Linked DNA regions of Sus scrofa. The protein of the gene in region 4 purifies or fractionates together with the protein of the main gene of each other region. This does not show direct contact. Links are inferred from orthologs where the notes say so. Each region holds a gene or a part of one and is shown on either strand. Other genes may lie near its edges.

Region 1 (4,926 bases), about 45 Mb from region 4:
CCTTCTCCTCTTCACTGAAATGATGACTTTCTCTCTGGACTACCTTATTTCTTTTGCTTCACAAGGTCACCATTGGCTCAGAAGCCCATACAAAGTAGTTCAACAAATATTTATCCAGCTACTGTGTGCCAGGTATGGTAGAAGCTTATGCAGAGGATACTAAGATATAAGTAAGACACAGGTCATACTCTCAAGAATCTTTAGCCTGAGAATGGTTATAGCACAAAATACACGCGCGCGTGCGTGCACACACACACACACACACACACACACACGCAATCAGAATAAATGCCCTGGATTCTTTGGTGCTTCAAGGGATGAAGTGTTCACCTGTGGTTGACAGATCAAGAGAGCTTTCACATGAAGAAGAAAGAACATTTGAGCTGTGCCTTGCATGATGGGCTGCGTTTTGGCAGGCAGAAGTAAGAGTGAGGGATCATAAGGGAAAGGAACCATGAGCACCACATGGAAGAAAATGAGGCATACTGTCAAATAGTAAACAAAACGGAAGTCCTGTCTTTATTTTCCTGCCTTCACATTTGACCATGTGAGCAGATATGTTCCATAAGAGCGGTGAAATAGAATAGTTGACACTGGAATATCAATGACATGCATAAGGATGTACAGAAAGGCATGGAATGCCAGCCTCAGAAAGCTTCATCTAATAAATTTTTTTTTTTTTTTTTTTTTTTTTTTTTGTCTCTTCTAGGGCCACAGCACATGGAGGTTCCCAGGTAGGGGTCCAATAGGAGCTGTAGCCACCGGCCTACGCCAGAGCCACAGAAATGCGGGATCTGAGCCGCATCTGTGACCTACACCACAGCTCACGGCAACACCAGATCCTCATAGCCCACTGAACGAGGCCAGGGATCGAACCTACGTCCTCACGGATGCTAGTTGGGTTCGTTAACTGCTGAGCCATGATGGGAACTCCGAAAAAATATTTTTTAAAAATTAGGAAAACTAATTTGGGCAAATATTGTCCTAAATAAAGGCTTGTTATGAACCCTGTGTGTATCTTCCAAAACAACATTGGAGTGTTGTTTTTTTTTGTTTTGTTTTGTTTTTTGTCTTTTTGCCTTTTCTAGGGCCATTCCCACAGCATATGGAGGTTCCCAGGCTAGGGGTTTAATCGGAGCTGTAGCCACCGGCCTACGCCAGAGCCACAGCAACACGAGATCCAAGCCATGTCTGCAACCTGCACCACAGCTCACGGCAACGCCGGATCCTTAACCCACTGAGCAAGGCCAGGGATCGAACCCGCAACCTCATGGTTCCTAGTCGGATTCGTTAACCACTGAGCCACGACAGGAACTCCAACATTGGAGTGTTTTAACAGTAGCCTTTGGAAAAGACTGCCCTCACTCCTTGTTCAATAACCCAAACATGAAGCTAACAGTGGGCATTCCAGGTCCAGTGGTAATGATAACAGGCAGCACCTGGAGGAAATATTTATGCAGTGTCTACCCTTGTGATGCTGGGAGGGTACTGGGACTGCTAGATCTAAACAGGTTCATTTCTTTAGGAAGACCAAGTATAAGCTTCTGGATATTTTCCCTCAGAACAGAGGATGGGACAGATCCAAGAACCAAAGCAAGAAGTCAGGTCCAGTACCAGGGCAAGACTAGCCGATAGTTCCAAGGATGGATGAAGTCTGTAGATGTTAGCCAGGATTGTGAGACCAAGGGAGAAGTAGAAAGGGTCAGGGGTCAAAGACTAAGGGCTCTGAAGCAGCAATGGCAGCAGAGGCCATGGTAATTAACACATGGCCAGGTTCCCTTTATCCCCTTCTCACATTTCCCTGTAGACTTCTGACCTAGCTGCCAGACAGATGCACAAGTTTTAGAAGATGCTAGACAGTATAAAGTCTGTTTCCTTTGGAAAAAATGACCAAGCCCTTGTGAAAAGCTTTGGTTTCTTCTACTTATTGAATAAGGTAAAAATTACCTGTCTTTTTTCATGGATGTCTACGATGCTCAAATAAAATGAAAGTGAAAAGAACAGTTATAATAGAGTTGTAATTATTTTGCAACCGCATCTACATGTTGATAATCCAAGAATCAACCAGTAAATACCATTAGCTTCCCATACCCCCAACATTACTTTAGGCCCTTTGGAAAGATTCAAAATTTATTTAATGCAAAATCAAATTGAAACATTCAGGAGAAATGTATTCAGACCGAAATTATAGAATTTCAAAGCATTTGACCCTGGATCTTTTTGAGAATGAAAAGACAACACCAAAAAAAAAAAAAAAAAGAAAGAAAAAGAAAAAAGAAAGAAATCCTTTCACTTAATCTACAAATATTAGTCAACAAATATTTATTGACTGTCACTATCCTGTTCCCACACTGATAGGTATCAGATAAAGGCAGACAGACAAATTTTTTTTTTCTTTTTAGGGCCACACCCACGGCATATGGCAAATCCCAGACTAGGGGTCTAATCGGAAATACAGCTGCCTGTGCTATAGCCATAGCAATGCCAGATCTGAGCCGCATCTGTGACCTACACCACAGCTCAAGGCAATGCCAGATCCTTAACTCACTGAGCGAGGCAGGGATCAAACCAGCAACCTCATGGCTCCTAGTCAGAATCATTTCAGCTGCACCACCACAGGAACTCCAAAATAATTAAACTTTAAAAGTGTCCATTTAGCACAGAGATACATGGTCTTTCATCTTAATCCTGCCCTTGAACTATGCATATTAATCCCCATCCTACCAAAGAAGTTATTTTTAAATCTTATGTAGAAATAAAAAAAAATACATCCAAGAGGCCACCATATACCCAAGAGCAACAACAATGCAAATAAGCATTCTGCGTTCTTCCCCTACAACTGACGTCCACACAAATATAAATGAGTTTCATTGATACATCTAATTGTTCTTGATGTTTTTCACTAGGCAACATCTTAGAGAAAATAATTGAAACCTGATATAAATAAGACGGAATATCCATCTGGAGTTGGCATGCGGCCCTTTTTGACCACTTGAAAGTCATTTCTATTTTTGGATCTTGTGATGATGAATCCTGAAACAAATACAATGCAAAAAAGTGGATTTTTTATTTATTGTCATTCATTTAAGGATAAAATTTTGAGATTAGGTATATAAAGAACTGTAACTATTTTTCAAAAATTATTTTTTATTCTTTATAAAAATAAGTATACAAAGAAGAAAAGTATAAAAAGAAGTGCATAAGACTACCTTATACCTACCAAAGAAGAAACCAGAAAATATAAAGGAGACTTACCTTAAAGTAGCTTCAATGGGCAGCTCGAAGGACTGGATCTCAGCCAGGACATTCTCATAGGTTTGATCTGCGTCCTCTTCCAACATTGCTCCTGATTTTCCAGCCACAGACATCAGATTTTCAGTGCAAAACAGTTGTAATTTATAAGAGAAATGTCGTTTTCCCTATAATTATGACAAGGGTTCTCTCTTCATCCAAAGTAGCAGCAAAAAACTGAGCTCACTGTCTGAGCTCATGCTATCAAAATCCTGGCTTCCAAGAATGTTGCACAGCTGTTGCTGTCCTGTCTCTGCTTATAACATTTTACTTATTATTAACCTTGACACAGTTCAGAAAGTTCCTGCCCAATGCCTGCTATATTTATTTGCTTGTTTCTCAAAGACAGTAACAGCAAACTTTGATAGGGATTAGAAAAATTACACTATAAAAAGTTATTAAATTACAACGGACTTGTTAGGGCACATATTTTAATGTTATTTATGCTAACTGCGCCATTAGAGCTATGCTCCTAATTATTCCTGCAACGACACCCTTGCCCACAAACCCAAGCAGTTAACTTACTCAGAAAAAATATGTGTGTAACAATCCTATAGGATATGATTTTGAGGTCACTGGACAAGCACCTTGGTTCCCCATCCCTGTCACTTGCCACCTTACTCACAAAGGTGTGACGTTCCTCCGTTAAAGAGCCATTCCTTTTTTTGTCTCCTGTTCAAAGACAGATGCTCCTGGAAATGGCTTAATTTTAATCCTTAAACCAGCCACTTATGCCTCACTGTGAATGAGTTTGCTAGATCCTTTCTGCAGGAGAGATTTTGATGTGGAGGGAGAAAGCACGAAGACGCCAGCATGTTAAGGGGGCTGGTTGCCACCGAGAGGAAAAAAGTGTGAAAGGAGTAGAGGCCTAAAATATAAAGGAAAAATGTGGAGACCAGCCAGCCAGTCCCAAGGAGGCCTAAAAAATTAAATGGATACATAATTCCCATTACCATTTGTACTAGATCTTCCTGAATTCTGAGTTTAACCTCATGCTTTCTTGCCCAGTACTGGAAAGAGAGGGAGGACTAGTGACATTCTTCTGTATGAATCTATTTTTTTAAGTTTTTATCAGATTTGTTAATATTGTTCTGAAAAGAAACGGGAAGTTCTTTCTCCTCAAAATGTAATATTCATATAACCACAGGCATGCTTCATAAACTGCATCAGTTTTTCACTTCTCTGTGCACCCTTACACTTGTCAGTGCCACACTGAGTGTCCCTCCATGCCCCAGGGCTTTGGGCTTAGCCCTGTGACTTCTGCAGGCCAGTGATACATGACAGTTTGTGAGCTCCAGGCCTGGGCTTTGTAAGGCCTCTCTTGCTGCTGTTTGCCCTCTTACACCTCTACCATCACCTGAGAAAAATATTCCCGGCTAGCTTGCTGGTCCAAGGAGGATGAGACATACAGGAAGCAGAGTCATTGCCACTGATCCACAAAAATGCAGGGAGAAGCATAGTTTTGCATCTAGCTGCAGCAGTCTGAAGCAGAGGCACCCACCCCAGCCATGCCCCAAATACTCACAGACACAGGAGCAATGACGAATGATGGTTCTTTTCAGCCACTGAGTGATGGGTTGGTTATATGTGCTAGTAGCAAACTAATCCAGCAGTCTTCACCTCAACCCCACCAAT
Region 2 (4,973 bases), on a different chromosome or scaffold from region 4:
GGATCTGGCATTACTGTGAGCTGTGGTGTAGGTCGCAGACATGGCTCAGATCCCGTGTTGCTGTGGCTCTGGCGTAGGACGGCGGCTATAGCTCCGATTCGACCCCTGGCCTGGGAACCTCCATATGTCATGGGAGCAGCCCTAGAAATGGCGAAAAGACAAAAAAAAAAAAAAAAAAACCAAATGTTAACTGTATACTGCATATATAACATAATTTAAATTATTAAAATGTAATGGAAAGGTCTATCTGTAATTCCTGAGATGGAGCTCTGAGTGCCCACCATGCGTGTCGTATACTCTATGTTTCTGTTCTATCTCTTACATTCTCCTTTAAGCTGATCCAGGGTCTCTCCTGAGACCATGGCAGGGACTGGTGTCCCCAAACCTGTCACATCACTCTGCTGGCCTCTTACCACTTTGTTGAGCTCTGGGCTGTCTGGGCTGTTGTCCTGGAAATACTCCACAGCCTTCTGAATCTTGGCCATGCTTCCCAGGTACTCCTCCAGCCTCCCTGTGGGGCTGGAAAGGAAAAGAGCTGGATCAGCCTGGGCAGGTGGAAGATGAAGAGGGAGGGCCCCAGGAATGATACCTGGACAGGGGAGAAGAGAATTCACCCAGGCGACCCAAGGTTCAAATACGTTCTACCCCCCCTTCCAAGGCCTGGGGTGGCTGGCCCGGAGGCGTTAGGCAGGTGACCCTCCGGCCCTGGCTCACCCCTCCCTGATGATCCTCTCAGTGTCACTGGCCACATGGTAGTAGCTAATGACGTGGTCCAGACAGGACAGCGTCTTCTCAACATTCTCCTGCAGCCGCTGCAGGTTCTCCGTCTGTTTGTGCACGGGGATGATGGAATTCTCCAGCTTCATGAGGCGACTCTCAAAGGACGACAGGATAGACACCTGCAGGGGGAGGGCAGCCCCGTGCTCGCAGACCGCCGGGTGGTCCCCAAGCCGCTTCTGCCACCCACCGGGTCTTTGGCATTTGCTGCCTTTTTCTACGGTTTTCTAGACAACCAGGCCCATGAGGGAAGGGACGGGGGACATCTCTTCCCCACTGAATCCCCAGCAGCTACCGCGTGCCCGGCACACAGGAGGTAGCCCACATCAATTAATGTGAAGGCAAGCCAGGCATGAAATTAATTCCTCCGCAGATAATCACTTCAGAATGCTTCTCGTCCACCCTCCGAAGCCAAAGCTCAATTTCTATTCTCTCTGGAGCGTTCTAGACTGAACAGGAAGTAGTTTCATACAGAGTAGCCTCAAATGCATTGCTGGTACCTTCCTAACCCTTTCTAAGGGTGAATCTCATTAAATAAGAACTAGCAGGAGTTCCCGTGATGGCGCAGTGGTTAACGAATCTGACTAGGAACCATGAGGTTGCGGGTTCGGTCCCTGCCTTGCTCAGTGGGTTAAGGATCCGGCGTTGCCATGAGCTGCGGTGTAGGTCGCAGATGAGGCTGGGATCTGGTGTGGCTGTGGCTGTGGCTGTGGGTAGGCCAGCAGCTGCAGCTCCGATTCGACCCCTAGCCTGGGAACCTCCATGTGCCACAGGAGCGGCCCTAGAAAAGACAAAAAGAAAAAAAGAAAGAACTAGCAGTTGCTGACTGTGTTACTAAACAGCCTATGTTTTTCCAGTCTCCTCTAGGAATAAGGAAGAAACTCATACTTATTGACACGTCCCTTTGCACTAGCTTCTGTGACCTTCAGAGCTATGGGAGGCTGGCATCATCTCTGTTTCAGCTGACAAGTTAACTGAGGATCAGAGTTACCTGTCAGCAAGCTATACGCGGACAAGTGGAGGGGCAAGGACTAGATCCCAGATCTGACTTCAGAGCTCATTTTACCCCTCAAGCCCTCTGGAGTGAAAGGTGAGTCAGTAATCTCAGAAGGGGTAACCTGCCACTCCTGGGCATCTATCCAGAGAAAACCATGACTCGAAAAGATACTTGTACTCCAATGTGCACTGCAGCACTATACACAATAACCAAGACATGGAAACAACCTAAATGTCCATGGACAGAGGAGTGGATAACGAAGATGTGGTACATATACACCATGGAATATTACTCAGCCGTTAAAAGGAAAGAAAGAACGGCATTTGCAACAACATGGATGGACCTAGAAATGATCATGCTACGTGAAGTGAGTCAGACAGTGAGACACCCACATCAAATGCTCTCACTTATGTGTGGAATCTAAAAAAAGCACACAATGAACTTCTTTGCAGAACAGATGCTGACTCGCAGACTTGGAAAAACTTACGGTTGCCAAAGGAGACAGGTTGGGGGTGGAGGGATGGGCTGGGGGTTTGGGATGGAAATGCTATAAAATTTGGTTGTGATGATCGTTGTACAACTATAAACGTAATAAAATTCACTGCGTTAAAAAAAAAAAAAAATGGAGTTCCCGTCGTGGCGCAGTGGTTAACGAATCCGACTAAGAACCAGGAGGTTGCGGGTTCGGTCCCTGCCCTTGCTCAGTGGGTTAACGATCCGGCGTTGCCGTGAGCTGTGGTGTAGGTTGCAGACGCGGCTCGGATCCCGCGTTGCTGTGGCTCTGGCGTAGGCCGGTGGCTACAGCTGCGATTGGACCCCTAGCCTGGGAACCTCCATATGCCGCGGGAGCGGCCCAAGAAATAGCAACAATAACAACAACAACAACAAAAACAAAAAGACAAAAGACAAAAAAAAAAAAAAAGAAGTGGTAACCTGGCCATCCTACCCTCACTTGAATTGAGGGTGACACATGGCCAGCATCCAACCCACTTAGGTCAGTCTCACTAAGTGTTTGCAGAGGAGAGAAGGAAGCATGGAGAACTTAGGCAGAGATCAGAAAGTCCAGGCCAGCGGGGACTGCAGCATCTGAGGCCAAGGGGCTGACAAGGGGTAAGAGACGTGCCACACTGCTGCGGGAGAAACCCACGCGTCACGGCTGTCACTACCCAGACCAGAACCCCAGCCCTTAGGTCCAGGCACGACCGGGTCGCAGGGTCTCCTCCAGCGCCTGGAAGCCCCCCCAGCTGAGGAGGGGTTACTCACCATGTTCTTGGTGAGCTGGTCGCTCTTCTCCAGACTGTCTCGGATGAAGGACAGCGTCTCCTCCTCCTGGGGGGAGCGCAAAGGAGGACATCACCAGAAGCCGGAGGCTAAAGGAGCTCACCGCTCCCGTGGTCTCGCCCCCTACTCAGTCTCCTGGCAGGGAGTGTCCCCTTCCCACTCCTGACGCCTCCCTGAGTGGATGCCTGGCCCGGATCTCGGCCCCTTCCCCTCCCCCGCCTCCCAGTGCCAGCCCCACCTGCTTCAGCTTGTCCTCGATCTCCCGCCGCCGGGCGGACGCCTCCTGCGGGGGGATCATGGCTTCGACTCTGCGACTCCCACTGCCCAGTACCTCGTCCCAGCTGACCCTCTCGGCTCCCGTTCCTGTCACACCTACTTCCGCCCGTGGCCCCGCCCCGGGGCGCGCTAGTGGTGCCATATTGGGAGTGGCAGGTGGAAGTGCGCCTGCGTAGAACTCAGTACAGCGGTCTGGAGTGGCCATCTTGAGTGTGGCAGGGAGGTGTGGCCTGGATTCTCCTAGGTGAAGGGATTGCTGTTCTCATCAGAGAAGGTTCTTGGGTGGTGTTTTGTCCTGTCGCTGGCAGAACAGTAACAGCTCACTTGGCCGTCTTCGGGGGAAGGTTTACGCCTTTCACAAAATCAATGACGAACTCCTTTCTCCAGATCGAAGTCTGAATCCAGGCACCAATGTCGCCTTTCCCACAAAACGCAGCACAGAGCTTGTCACACACTAGATACCCAATTGTGCCCATTTAATGAACCAAGGACCTGTGTAGTGTCCCTCTTTGGCCCTAAAAGCTCACGGAACAGGCCCAGTGTGCAAGTAACTAGGTTTTGCAGTGGATCCAGAGCATACGTACCTGCAGTAACCTTGAACCAGTCCCCTACCCTCTCCCAACCCCACCCCCGGCCACGCCCCCAAGCTGTATTTAGAGGAGACCCCGCCAAGGAGTTGAGACATTCCGGCAGCCGCAGGAACCAAGGCTTTCTGATTTCCTCCAAGGCCCGTGAGAAATGCTCCCCGTGTGTCTGAATGCATGCATGCCTCAGTCTCTCCCTAAGGACACCACCACCCTGGGCCCCAAGCCCTTAGACAGGTCTCAGATCTCTCAGGCTTCGCCTTGCACTGTTTGCAGACTTATAGTTCTCTACCCACAGCCTGGTCCTCACCAACCCCGCCAGTAAAACCACACAGCCCTCTCCAAAGCAGACACCCTGGCCGGGCTGGGTGGCTCACAAGTCAGGATTATGGTTTCAGATGCTGTTGGGGCCATGGGTGAGCACTCTGTCCCCGACCCCGAGCCTGGGAACCTCCATATACTGTGGGTGCGGCCCTAAAAAGACCAAAAGAAGAAAAATTAAATAAATAAATAAAAGAATGAAAAGACCAGTTTCGGTGATTCCCAGCCCAATGTCAGGCACATGCTGTTGGCAGTGGACACTGATTTGGTAAAAGCTGTGATTCCCTAACTATACTCAGCACAAGCTGCTTCAGCCAAAGGAGAAAGCGGTGTTTCAGCTGCAGCCTCGGTTGCTTGGCTTTCATTCCCAAACTTGTTCAGAGCACAAATGTGAGGGTCGCCTAGAGGCCCCAACTGCCCAACTCTCAGGGATGCTCTTTCTGGGGGGTGGGGGATAGGGAGGAAGCAAGAGCTTGCTCCCTTCACAGCCTGTTTTTTTTTGGGGGGGCGGCCCCTGCACCTGTAGCATATGGAGGTTCCCAGGCTAGGGGTCCAATCAGAGCTACAGCTGCTGGCCTACATCACAGCCACAGCAACGCAGGATCCCAGCCTCATCTGCGACTACACCACAGCTCACGGCAATGCCAGATCCTTAACCCACTGATCGAGGCCAGGGATTGAATTTGCGTCTTCATGGATGCTAGTCGGATCCGTTTCCACTGAGCCACGATGGGAAC
Region 3 (4,829 bases), on a different chromosome or scaffold from region 4:
CTGGATGCAGGAAGTTCACTGAGGAAGCTCATGGCCGGAAGGTTTTTCACCCACAGTACGTCCCTATCATGATCCGAAACCCGGGAACTTCTAATTTCTATCCAAATAGGGTTTGGGTTGATTTTCCTAACTGCCCCTTCCTAGAGCTGAATCCTACCCCAACTCCACTTTGCCTAGGCAGAATTTATGGCCCCACTGACCCCGATACAACCTCATGGTTCGTCAAACACTATATGGCAATTAATTGTTTAAATGCCTGCCTCCATAATCTCTAGGGATGGAAGCCATCTCTTGTTCAATTCGATATCCACAGCAGCTAGCACTGTGTAATTAATTCTTTCCTTGTTGATAATTATACATCAGGGTGCTGCATGTATTACAGGAAAGGCTTTGTACTCTGATTAAATCGCTGTGTATAAGCAACTAACAGATCCAGACCCTCTACAAAGAGCAATATCAAAAAGCACAGAAGCATTAACTTAGTTTTAAGTAACAGGCTTATCAAAGACCATATCACCAGACTCTGCTAGTTTAGCCTAGGATCTTAAGTATTCTATTTGACCTTCCCCATATACATTAAAGACTTATATTGCCTGCTAAGTATATGAGAAACTCTGCTAGGTACTGTTAAGGGAGAAGGTAGGAGGCTCCTCAGAAAGGAAGTTCTCCAGTATGAATGACCTAGAAGGGGAATCAGATGAAAGTCTATTCCTACGGATAACGATTAAGTGCACAGGTTTGGAATCAGGAAGCAGAGGTTTAAAGGAGGGCTCTGCCATAGAACTAACAGTGTCTTAATTAGGAAGTTAACCACTGCAGGCCTTGGTTTCCCCAGCTGCCCAACAGGAGCAGCACCTGCGCACTGCAGGTGTGATGATTTACATGCAATGACATATAAAGCACTTGGCATAGTGCTGGGAACTTGATGGGTGCTCAGCAAACATTAGCTTCCATTGTGTTGCCACCCAAAGCCAAGATGGACACGAGCTTATTATAACCACCTAGGGAGAGCATTTCCTCCCACTACAGCACCGTGTATGGCCTGGTAGAAAGGACACGCTGTGGCAATGCCATTTGATCAAATGCAAGTTCAGACCCGGGAAGGGCTTACTGCGGCCTGCCCTAACGAAACGGACAGGTTAGGGAACAGCATCAGGGCCCTGGATGACCACCAGCATTTTCCTGTCCCCATACCCCTAGGACCTACAGCAGTCACAGGTGGTTTTCTTACCATTCCTGGGGTGTATAACTGCCATTCCTATGACTAGTAACAGGGCGCATTAGGTCTCAAAAATGATGCCCTTACTCTCCACATCCCATCCCCACCCAACCACCTGCCTACCTGCCTCAGCCCTCCCCGCCCCCCACCCAGGGATTCCACTGGGACTCGGCCAAGAGGGTCATCTGTTCAGCTCTTGCACATGCCAGACCCTAGCTAAGTGAGGCTGTCTCAGAGGGGACTGGCAGGGCACTTGGAAGAGTTGTCTCACAAAGGACACAGACCCGGAACATATCCCCATCTGGGGATGAACCACAGCCTCTGGGACTGCTCCTCTCAGATCTCAGAGGACACCCTTGTCTGCTGAGCTTCTCCTGAGGGAACTCTGACTCCCTGCAGAGCAGCAGCCTGAACAGCAAGAATACAAGAGCCCCAGCAGGACCCTGTAAGGTCGCTCTAACCCACTGCAGCTGTAGAAAGAACATACTAGATGCTTGCTCCTTCAAAAGTACTGACTGAGTATTGAGTGAGTCTGGACTACTGTTTGGCGAATATTTCCACTTCTCTTTCCTGGCCCTAGACAGTCTTGAACTTCTTGCTCCCTGTAGGTGGGTGACTCTATGGGACCCAATGACTTGGAAGCAGACATGATACACAAATCATTTGGGGGTGGGAGAATTTATCTGTCCATGGGAGACCCTTCAGAGCTCTCATCTGCATGGTATGGTACTGGGAACGTATGGGGGCCCCATCAGCCTGGGCCCCTGCAATGAACACAGTGCCCCCCACCCCCCAGCCCCGGTCCACCACTAACCTGTGACAGACATTTATGTGATTGAGAAACAAACTCTGTGATTTGAAGACACTAAGATTTGGAAGTCTTTTGTTGCTGCTGCACAGCTTAGTCTGCTCTGACTGATGTCAGGCCCTAATGGGTACCAAGCTAGGGATATGGTGATGGCTAACTCAGACAAGAGAACCAACAGACAAGCAACTAGGTCATTACAAATGGTGTGCCATTACAAGTGACTTTAGGAGTTCCTGTTGTGGTTCAGCGGGTTAAGAACTACATAACATCCATGAGGATATGGGTTTGATCCCTGACCTTGCTCACTGAGTAAAGGATCTGACATTGCCACAAGCTGCACTGTAGTTCGCAGACATGGCTCAGATCCCGCGTTGCTGTGGCTGTGGTGTAGACTGGCAGCTATAGCTCCAGTTGGATCCCCAGCCCAGGAACCTCTTCATGCCATGGGTGCGGACTTACAAAAAAAAAAAAAAAAAAAAAAAAGAAAGAAAGAAAGAAAGACCACCCTGGCTATTGTGTGGAGAGTGGCCTGTAAGGGGCAAATGTGGGAGTGGACGTGGATGTTGGAAGGTTGTTCTGGGGGTCCAAGCAAAGTGGGGCCCACAGGGGTAGAGCCTGGCAGTGTTGTAATCTGCCCTTGATTAATTGGAGATCTGGGGAGATTGCAGAAGGAAGGGAGCAAAAGCACTGAAGACTAAACAGAAGGTCCTTCTGCCAATCCCAGCGGCTGGAAGGTGGGAGCTCTAGAGGTGCTTTGACCCCAGGAGATAGGTGCTCAAAAGCCAGGCAGAACAGGGGAGGATGTGAGAGGGCAGCTGGCCAATTTCCTAGAACATCAGCCAGCATATGAGACTTGCTCCCACGAGCTGGCAGGATGATATAAATAGACGGTATTATTAGAAAGAGTCTGACAAGCTCCAATTATCCCTGCAGGCATTTGATACTTGGTGACCATCTGGATTAGAAAAAAGAGGGGGGTAGTTCTCGTCATGGCTCAGCGGTAACAAACGTGACTAGTGTCCATGAGGTTGCAGGTTCCATCCCTGGCCTCACTCAGTGGGTTAAAGATCAGGCATTGCCATGAGCTGTGGTGTAGGTCATGGACATGGCTCAGATCCCACATTGCTGAGGCTATGATGTTGTCCAGCAGCTGCCTAGCCTTTTCCATATGCTGCAGGTGCAGCCCTAGAAAGGAAAGAAAGAAAGAAAGAAAGAAAGAAAGAAAGAAAGAAAGAAAGAAAGAAAGAAAGAAAGAAAGAAAGAAGGAAGGAAGGAAGGAAGGAAGGAAGGAAGGAAGGAAGGAAGGAAGGAAGGAAGGAAGAGAGAGAGAAAGGAAAGAAGGAAGGAAGGGAGGAAAGAGGGGGAGCCACCGATCTACAGATGAAAAGAAGTCATTCTTACCTACCAATGGTTATAGGGAGAATCCACTATAAACAGCAAGACTCCTTAGGGTTCTTCTTGGTCATCTCCCTCTCTGTTTCTCCAGCCCTCAGTGTCCGGCGCTTCCTGCCAGCTCCTCCTGTTCTCAGGAACAGCCTCATGGGTTCATCCGCACATAGGAATAAAGGGCTAAAGACAGCTCAGTGGGTACCCACTCCTTCCTGGGCATTTGCATCATCCGAAACTGAAACTTGAGGTCTTAGGCTAGGGGAAGGATTTAGGGGAGGACCAGAGATCTTTTTTTTTTTTGAGGGGGGCACACCTGCAGCATATGGAAGTTCCCGGGCCAGGGGTCAAATCAGAGCTGCAGCTGCCAGCCTATACCACAGCCACAGCAACGCCAGATCCGTGCCATATCTGTGACCTACATCGCCGCTCATGGCAATGCCAGATCCCCGACCCACTGCAAACCCACACTGTCACAGACATTGTGTCAGGCTCTTAACCCACTGAACCACAATGGGAACTCTGAGGACCGGAGGTCTTTAACTCACACTACTAGGATGGCGTGACTTTTCCCTTCCTGGCTGGGGCTGGCAAAGGTTCAGACTCCTGAGTTCTCACCCAAGGCACCAGGTAAGGGTGATGCTTTCTTGGAGCCTCCCCAAAGCCTGGGGAATATCCCTCTGACTTCCTTTCTTGAAGCCTCTTGCTGGCAGCTACCAAGAAAAGCGCTGGCGCTTTCTTATTCCCAGCCACATTCCGGCTCTTGACTTTGGTGCTCGATTATTTATGGCCACTTGAAAAAGACTTACTGGGCCTTTTCTCAACCACTTTCTGCTAAGTGTTTTATTGAGAGCTTCTCTCTCTGCGTTACTCCCTTTCTATGTCATCTCACCAGCCCCAGCCAGGCAGCAGGAACTAACCAGATATTCCCAGGAATTGTTCTTCTGGGAAAGCAGAGGTCCACGTCATTAGCTAGAGAATGAGCTTTCTTCTTCTAAAAGAAATTAATCAACTTGGGTAACACATTAGAAACAAATGAGGAGTTCCTGTTGTGGCTTAGTGGTAACGAACCCAACTAGTATCCATGAGGACTCAGGGTCGATCCCTGGCCTCACTCAGTGAGTTAAAGATCCTACCTTGTCGTGAACTGTGGTGTAGATGGTAGCTGAGGCTTGGATCTCGAGCCCAAGTTGTGTGTCTGTGGTGCAGGCCGGCAGCTGCAGCTCCAATTCTGCCCTTAGCCTGGGAACTTCCATATGGCACAGGGGAAGCCCTAAAAAGACAAGGAAGGAAGGGAGAGAGAGAGAGAGAGAGAGAGAGAGAGAAAGGAAGGAAGAAAGAAGGAAAGAATTCCTCTCCGAGTTCCCTGGTGGCCTAGCAGTTAAGGATTAGGTGTTGTCGCTGCTGCCTGGCCTG
Region 4 (4,793 bases):
TTAAGCATCAGGTTTATGCAGAAAATACCTCCACAAGATCCTTCCTGGGCCTCAACTTTAAAAGGGGTTCACTGAGCCGGATGGAGCACATTCCACCATTCCCTTCGTAGCTGCAGATCCCAGCACACCTGGAAGAAAACCATCCCAAATCTGTAATTCACCGAATGTACACAGGAGGGAATCAAACAGGAGAGAGCAAATCCTTACACGTTCTTGGGTGGTTCAGGCTGAGGGCGAACTCCATGGCAGATGGCCTTCCTGAAAATAGACCCTCTTTGCTGAGAGATGCTTGCAACTCCGCGGGGTCAGGGAGAAATGGGAACAGCAGTGGCCTCCCTTACTCTAACCAGGCAGCTCAAAGATAATCCCATCCTGCTGCTGCCTGTCCTCTCCCTAAAAGGTGTAATCAACCAGTCTGTGGTGGAAAGGGCCAGATCTCCACTAGTGTTCCTCCGAAATTATAATTATATATGAAGGAGAACTGTGCTTTCAACGCAACTTCATATCATATCTTAACTCCTTATTCTAGGTGGTTTTGTATCAATTCAAAAACTAGCAGGTAGTGTTCAGCTACACCTTAAACTTGTTAACTCCGTTGGTGTACAGGAGTCGTTTATTTCAAAAGGGGTTTTCTCCAACTCAGCGGGTAAGAAAAGGGTCCTTTCACAGGGCTCCCGGAAGACCCCCGCGTCCCAAAGTTATGGAAACATAGACCCCTTCCCAAGCTGACACACGGCTCACTGCAAGGCAGCGGCGCCGTAAAGACCACAGCTGAGGACAGCACACTTCCCGGCGCCCTCAGCATCTTTAGGGGCCGATTCTGGCTGTTTCTCCCTCCTGGGTCCTAGATCAGAAAGGGGAAAGGGGTGAACTCATTTTCCTGGAAACTGAGAAACATCCTTCTCTCTCACTGTGTTCCTTACCGGTCAGATCGCCGCGGGGTGGGCCACACGGCTTTCTGAGAGCTAACCAAGGGCAGTGAGAGAGGAAGGAAGGGAAGGGAGAGGAAGCCCGAGAACGGCTGGCTGTCCCTAGACCCGACCCGGGTCACTGCCCCGGCGCCGGGGCAGCGGAAGGGCCGCCAGCTGTCCGGTCCCGGCGGGCTCGGCACTCACAGCGTCATCCGCACGCTCCACTTCACTTCCACCGCCTCCAGTTTGCCCCAGAAGAAACGATCGTTGAACTGCACAAACAGGGCCTGCAAATCCGGCGTGGGGTCCACCAACTCCCAGGACGCGTCCACCAGCGACAGGGGCTCCTGGGCCGGATTGCGCTCCGAGACCTGCAAGTTCCACTCTTCCTGAAGCCGAAGAGCCAGAACCAGGTCCTCATCCATGGCTGCCCGGCTACCAGGCGGAGTCCAGATGGCTCAGAGAGCCTAGCCGTGCTCCTAGGAGATACCAGCTCCCAGGCCACTCTCGGGTCAGGCCACAGATCTCGCGAGACCTAGTAAACTCCGGCTCGAGAAAGAGAACCGAGCGTGCCCCGAACTCCAGTCAAGATTCTAGGGCTTAAAACAACAAAGAAAATTCAGCATGACACCTCCTAGTGGGCTCAACACTTGGGTTCCCGAAGCTTGAGCCCGAGGAAGGTTTCAAGTAGCCGGATACCGCCTTTACGGTTCGCGGGTACGGTCAAACATCAACGTCATGCTCGGCCCATGCGCAGTATCTACACCTCGCTGCTCCGCCCTCCACTCGCTTCCGCAGGAGCTTCTCCGGCGCATGCGCCCTAGGCCACTGGCGACCCTGCGCCGGCGCGCTGTTTGCGAGGGGCATCTTGCGCAGGCGCAGTGTCCGGACTTCAGACCCGGGCGCAGGCGTACTCGCCTGTCTTCCATCCTGCTTCCTCAGCCCTGGACTCGGCCGGGTTGGGTGGGCCTCGACAGTGGCGGCGGCGGCAGCGGCGGCGGTAGTAATAGTGACAGTGACTACGTGAGTCCCCGACGGAAATGGCGATGGCGATGTCAGACAGTGGGGCGAGCCGCCTGCGGCGGCAGCTGGAGTCGGGCAGCTTCGAGGCGCGGCTGTACGTGAAGCAGCTCTCGCAGCAGTCGGACGGGGACCGGGACCTGCAGGAGCACCGGCAGCGCATCCAGGCGCTGGCGGAGGAGACGGCGCAGAACCTGAAGCGTAACGTCTACCAGAACTACCGGCAGTTCATAGAGACGGCCCGCGAGATCTCCTACCTGGAGAGCGAGATGTACCAGCTTAGCCATCTGCTGACCGAGCAGAAGAGCAACCTGGAGAGCATCCCGCTCACCCTGCTGCCGGCCGCCGCCGCAGCCGCTGCTGGGGCCGCCACCGCCTCCGGAGGGGAGGAGGGTGGAGGCAGCGCGGGGGGCCGCGATCACCTCCGGGGCCAGGCTGGCTTTTTCCCAAGTCCCGGGGGCGCCTCCCGCGACAGTTCTGGTCCGGGCGAGGAAGGGAAGCAGCGCACTCTTACCACTCTGCTGGAGAAGGTGGAAGGCTGCAGGCACCTGCTGGAGACGCCGGGACAGTACCTGGTGTACAACGGGGACCTGGTGGAATACGAGGCGGATCATATGGCCCAGTTGCAGCGAGTGCACGGCTTTCTCATGAACGACTGTTTGCTGGTGGCCACCTGGTTGCCACAGCGGCGGGGGATGTATCGCTACGACGCCCTCTATCCCCTGGATGGTTTGGCCGTAGTCAATGTCAAGGACAATCCCCCCATGAAGGACATGTTCAAGTTGCTAATGTTTCCCGAGAGTCGTATTTTTCAGGCGGAAAATGCAAAAATCAAACGCGAGTGGCTGGAAGTGTTGGAGGAAACCAAGAGGGCCCTCAGTGAGAAAAGACGCAGGGAGCAGGAGGAGGCAGCGGCCCCTCGAGGGCCACCCCAAGTGACTTCCAAGGCCAGCAACCCGTTTGAAGATGAAGACGACGACGAACCAGCTGTTCCTGAGGCGGAAGAAGAGAAGGTGGACCTCTCAATGGAATGGATCCAGGAATTGCCCGAAGACCTGGATGTTTGCATCGCCCAGAGGGACTTTGAAGGGGCCGTTGACCTGCTGGATAAGTTGAACCAGTACCTGGAAGATAAGCCCAGTCCACCTGCTGTAAAAGAACTGAGGGCCAGAGTGGATGAGCGTGTCCGCCAGCTCACCGAGGTGCTGGTTTTTGAACTCTCCCCGGATCGGTCCCTGAGAGGCGGTCCCAAGGCTACGCGTCGGGCCGTTTCTCAACTAATCCGGCTTGGCCAGTGCACTAAGGCTTGCGAGCTGTTCTTGAGAAACAGGGCAGCAGCTGTGCATACCGCAATCCGCCAGCTTCGCATCGAGGGTGCCACCTTACTCTATATTCACAAGCTCTGCCACGTCTTCTTCACCAGCCTTCTCGAGACGGCCAGGGAGTTTGAGGCGGACTTCGCAGGCACCGACGGGGGCTGCTACTCGGCCTTCGTGGTCTGGGCGAGGTCAGCCCTGGGCACGTTTGCGGCTGCCTTTAGCAAACAGGTGTTCGACAGTAAGGAGAGCCTCTCCACTGCAGCTGAGTGTGTGAAGGTGGCCAAGGAGCATTGTCAGCAGCTGGGTGACATCGGGCTAGACCTCACCTTCATCATCCACACCCTCCTGGTGAAAGACATCCAGGGGGCCTTGCACAGCTACAAGGAAATCATCATCGAAGCCACTAAGCATCGCAACTCAGAGGAGATGTGGAGGAGGATGAACTTGATGACTCCAGAGGCCCTGGGTAAACTCAAAGAGGAGATGAAGAGCTGTGGGGTGAGGAACTTTGAGCAGTACACGGGGGATGACTGCTGGGTGAACCTGAGTTACACGGTGGTGGCTTTCACCAAACAGACCATGGGCTTCTTGGAAGAGGCGCTGAAGCTGTATTTCCCGGAGCTGCACATGGTGCTGTTGGAGAGCCTGGTGGAAATCATTTTGGTTGCTGTTCAGCATGTGGATTACAGTCTTCGGTGTGAGCAGGATCCAGAGAAGAAGAATTTTATCAGACAGAATGCATCCTTTCTGTACGAAACAGTCCTGCCTGTGGTGGAGAAAAGGTTTGAGGAAGGTGTGGGGAAACCCGCCAAGCAACTTCAGGACCTGAGAAATGCATCGAGACTGATTCGTGTGAATCCCGAAAGTACAACGTCAGTGGTCTGACACCTGGACCTGTTTATGTGTATACGTATATATGGCTTATATATATTATTTATATTTATATTAAGTTGCATTAGCGTATTCTTTATAGTCTCAAACACAGCCTAAAAATAAAAGATGCCTTCTCAGAAATGCGAAAATCAAAAGGAGATTGAAAAACATGTTAAACCCACGTAACAAAAACATTGAATTAGTAGAACATACAATATGCTTTCCTTTTAAATTATGCTAACTCTCTAATGACTATATATCGTCACACCAGAGCATTTCAACTTGTGTTTTGAAAGTTTCCCAGTTCACTAGGTTTCTTAAAGGGCACAGTGCCATTCCTGCCTCGTGTACTTCTGCACCTTAAAATGTGGTTGAACAATTTGGGGAAAAGAAAGGAGGAGTTGAGAAAACTGGTTTCAGGGTAAATTTTGGTCAACAGAATTCCTTCATGAAGGTAGCTGGCGTGTGGACTTACTCCAATCCCTGTAGAAGCTGTCATACAAGCAGTTCAGCAAATACTTCCATCATAATTTAAATGGCCCATTATTGTCTGCTGTTAATTAGCATCATTTTAATACTTGATTTGGGAGCATTTACTTGAAAGTCTTAACAACATACTTTTTTTGTTTTGTGGTTTTTTTTAAACGTGTTCCTGAGTTGTCAAGTTCCA

The links. Proteins that work in one complex are often made in the same cells at the same time.
Region 1: the proteins of EXOC8 (region 4) and EXOC6 purify together in Homo sapiens (affinity purification with mass spectrometry; 4 studies listed by BioGRID and IntAct, counting the BioPlex papers as one, with this or other methods). This does not show direct contact. The link is inferred for Sus scrofa from reciprocal best matches to the Homo sapiens genes EXOC8 and EXOC6.
Region 2: the proteins of EXOC8 (region 4) and EXOC7 purify together in Homo sapiens (affinity purification with mass spectrometry; 4 studies listed by BioGRID and IntAct, counting the BioPlex papers as one, with this or other methods). This does not show direct contact. The link is inferred for Sus scrofa from reciprocal best matches to the Homo sapiens genes EXOC8 and EXOC7.
Region 3: the proteins of EXOC8 (region 4) and RALB purify together in Homo sapiens (affinity purification with western blotting; 6 studies listed by BioGRID and IntAct, counting the BioPlex papers as one, with this or other methods). This does not show direct contact. The link is inferred for Sus scrofa from reciprocal best matches to the Homo sapiens genes EXOC8 and RALB.

Annotation. Positions count from the first base shown.
Region 1 is NC_010456.5:104,325,468-104,330,393, reverse strand, and holds the start of EXOC6 (exocyst complex component 6), read right to left. Parts: upstream 3,452-4,926; 5' UTR 3,369-3,451; coding exon 3,256-3,368; intron 1-3,255. UniProt on the Homo sapiens protein: Component of the exocyst complex involved in the docking of exocytic vesicles with fusion sites on the plasma membrane.
Region 2 is NC_010454.4:5,329,973-5,334,945, reverse strand, and holds the start of EXOC7 (exocyst complex component 7), read right to left. Parts: upstream 3,452-4,973; 5' UTR 3,354-3,451; coding exon 3,294-3,353; intron 3,104-3,293; coding exon 3,038-3,103; intron 900-3,037; coding exon 715-899; intron 520-714; coding exon 414-519; intron 1-413. UniProt on the Homo sapiens protein: Component of the exocyst complex involved in the docking of exocytic vesicles with fusion sites on the plasma membrane.
Region 3 is NC_010457.5:31,114,987-31,119,815, forward strand, and holds the start of RALB (ras-related protein Ral-B), read right to left. Parts: upstream 3,452-4,829; 5' UTR 3,433-3,451; intron 1-3,432. UniProt on the Homo sapiens protein: Multifunctional GTPase involved in a variety of cellular processes including gene expression, cell migration, cell proliferation, oncogenic transformation and membrane trafficking.
Region 4 is NC_010456.5:59,190,596-59,195,388, forward strand, and holds the start of EXOC8 (exocyst complex component 8), read left to right. Parts: upstream 1-1,749; 5' UTR 1,750-1,951; coding exon 1,952-4,135; 3' UTR 4,136-4,793. UniProt on the Homo sapiens protein: Component of the exocyst complex involved in the docking of exocytic vesicles with fusion sites on the plasma membrane.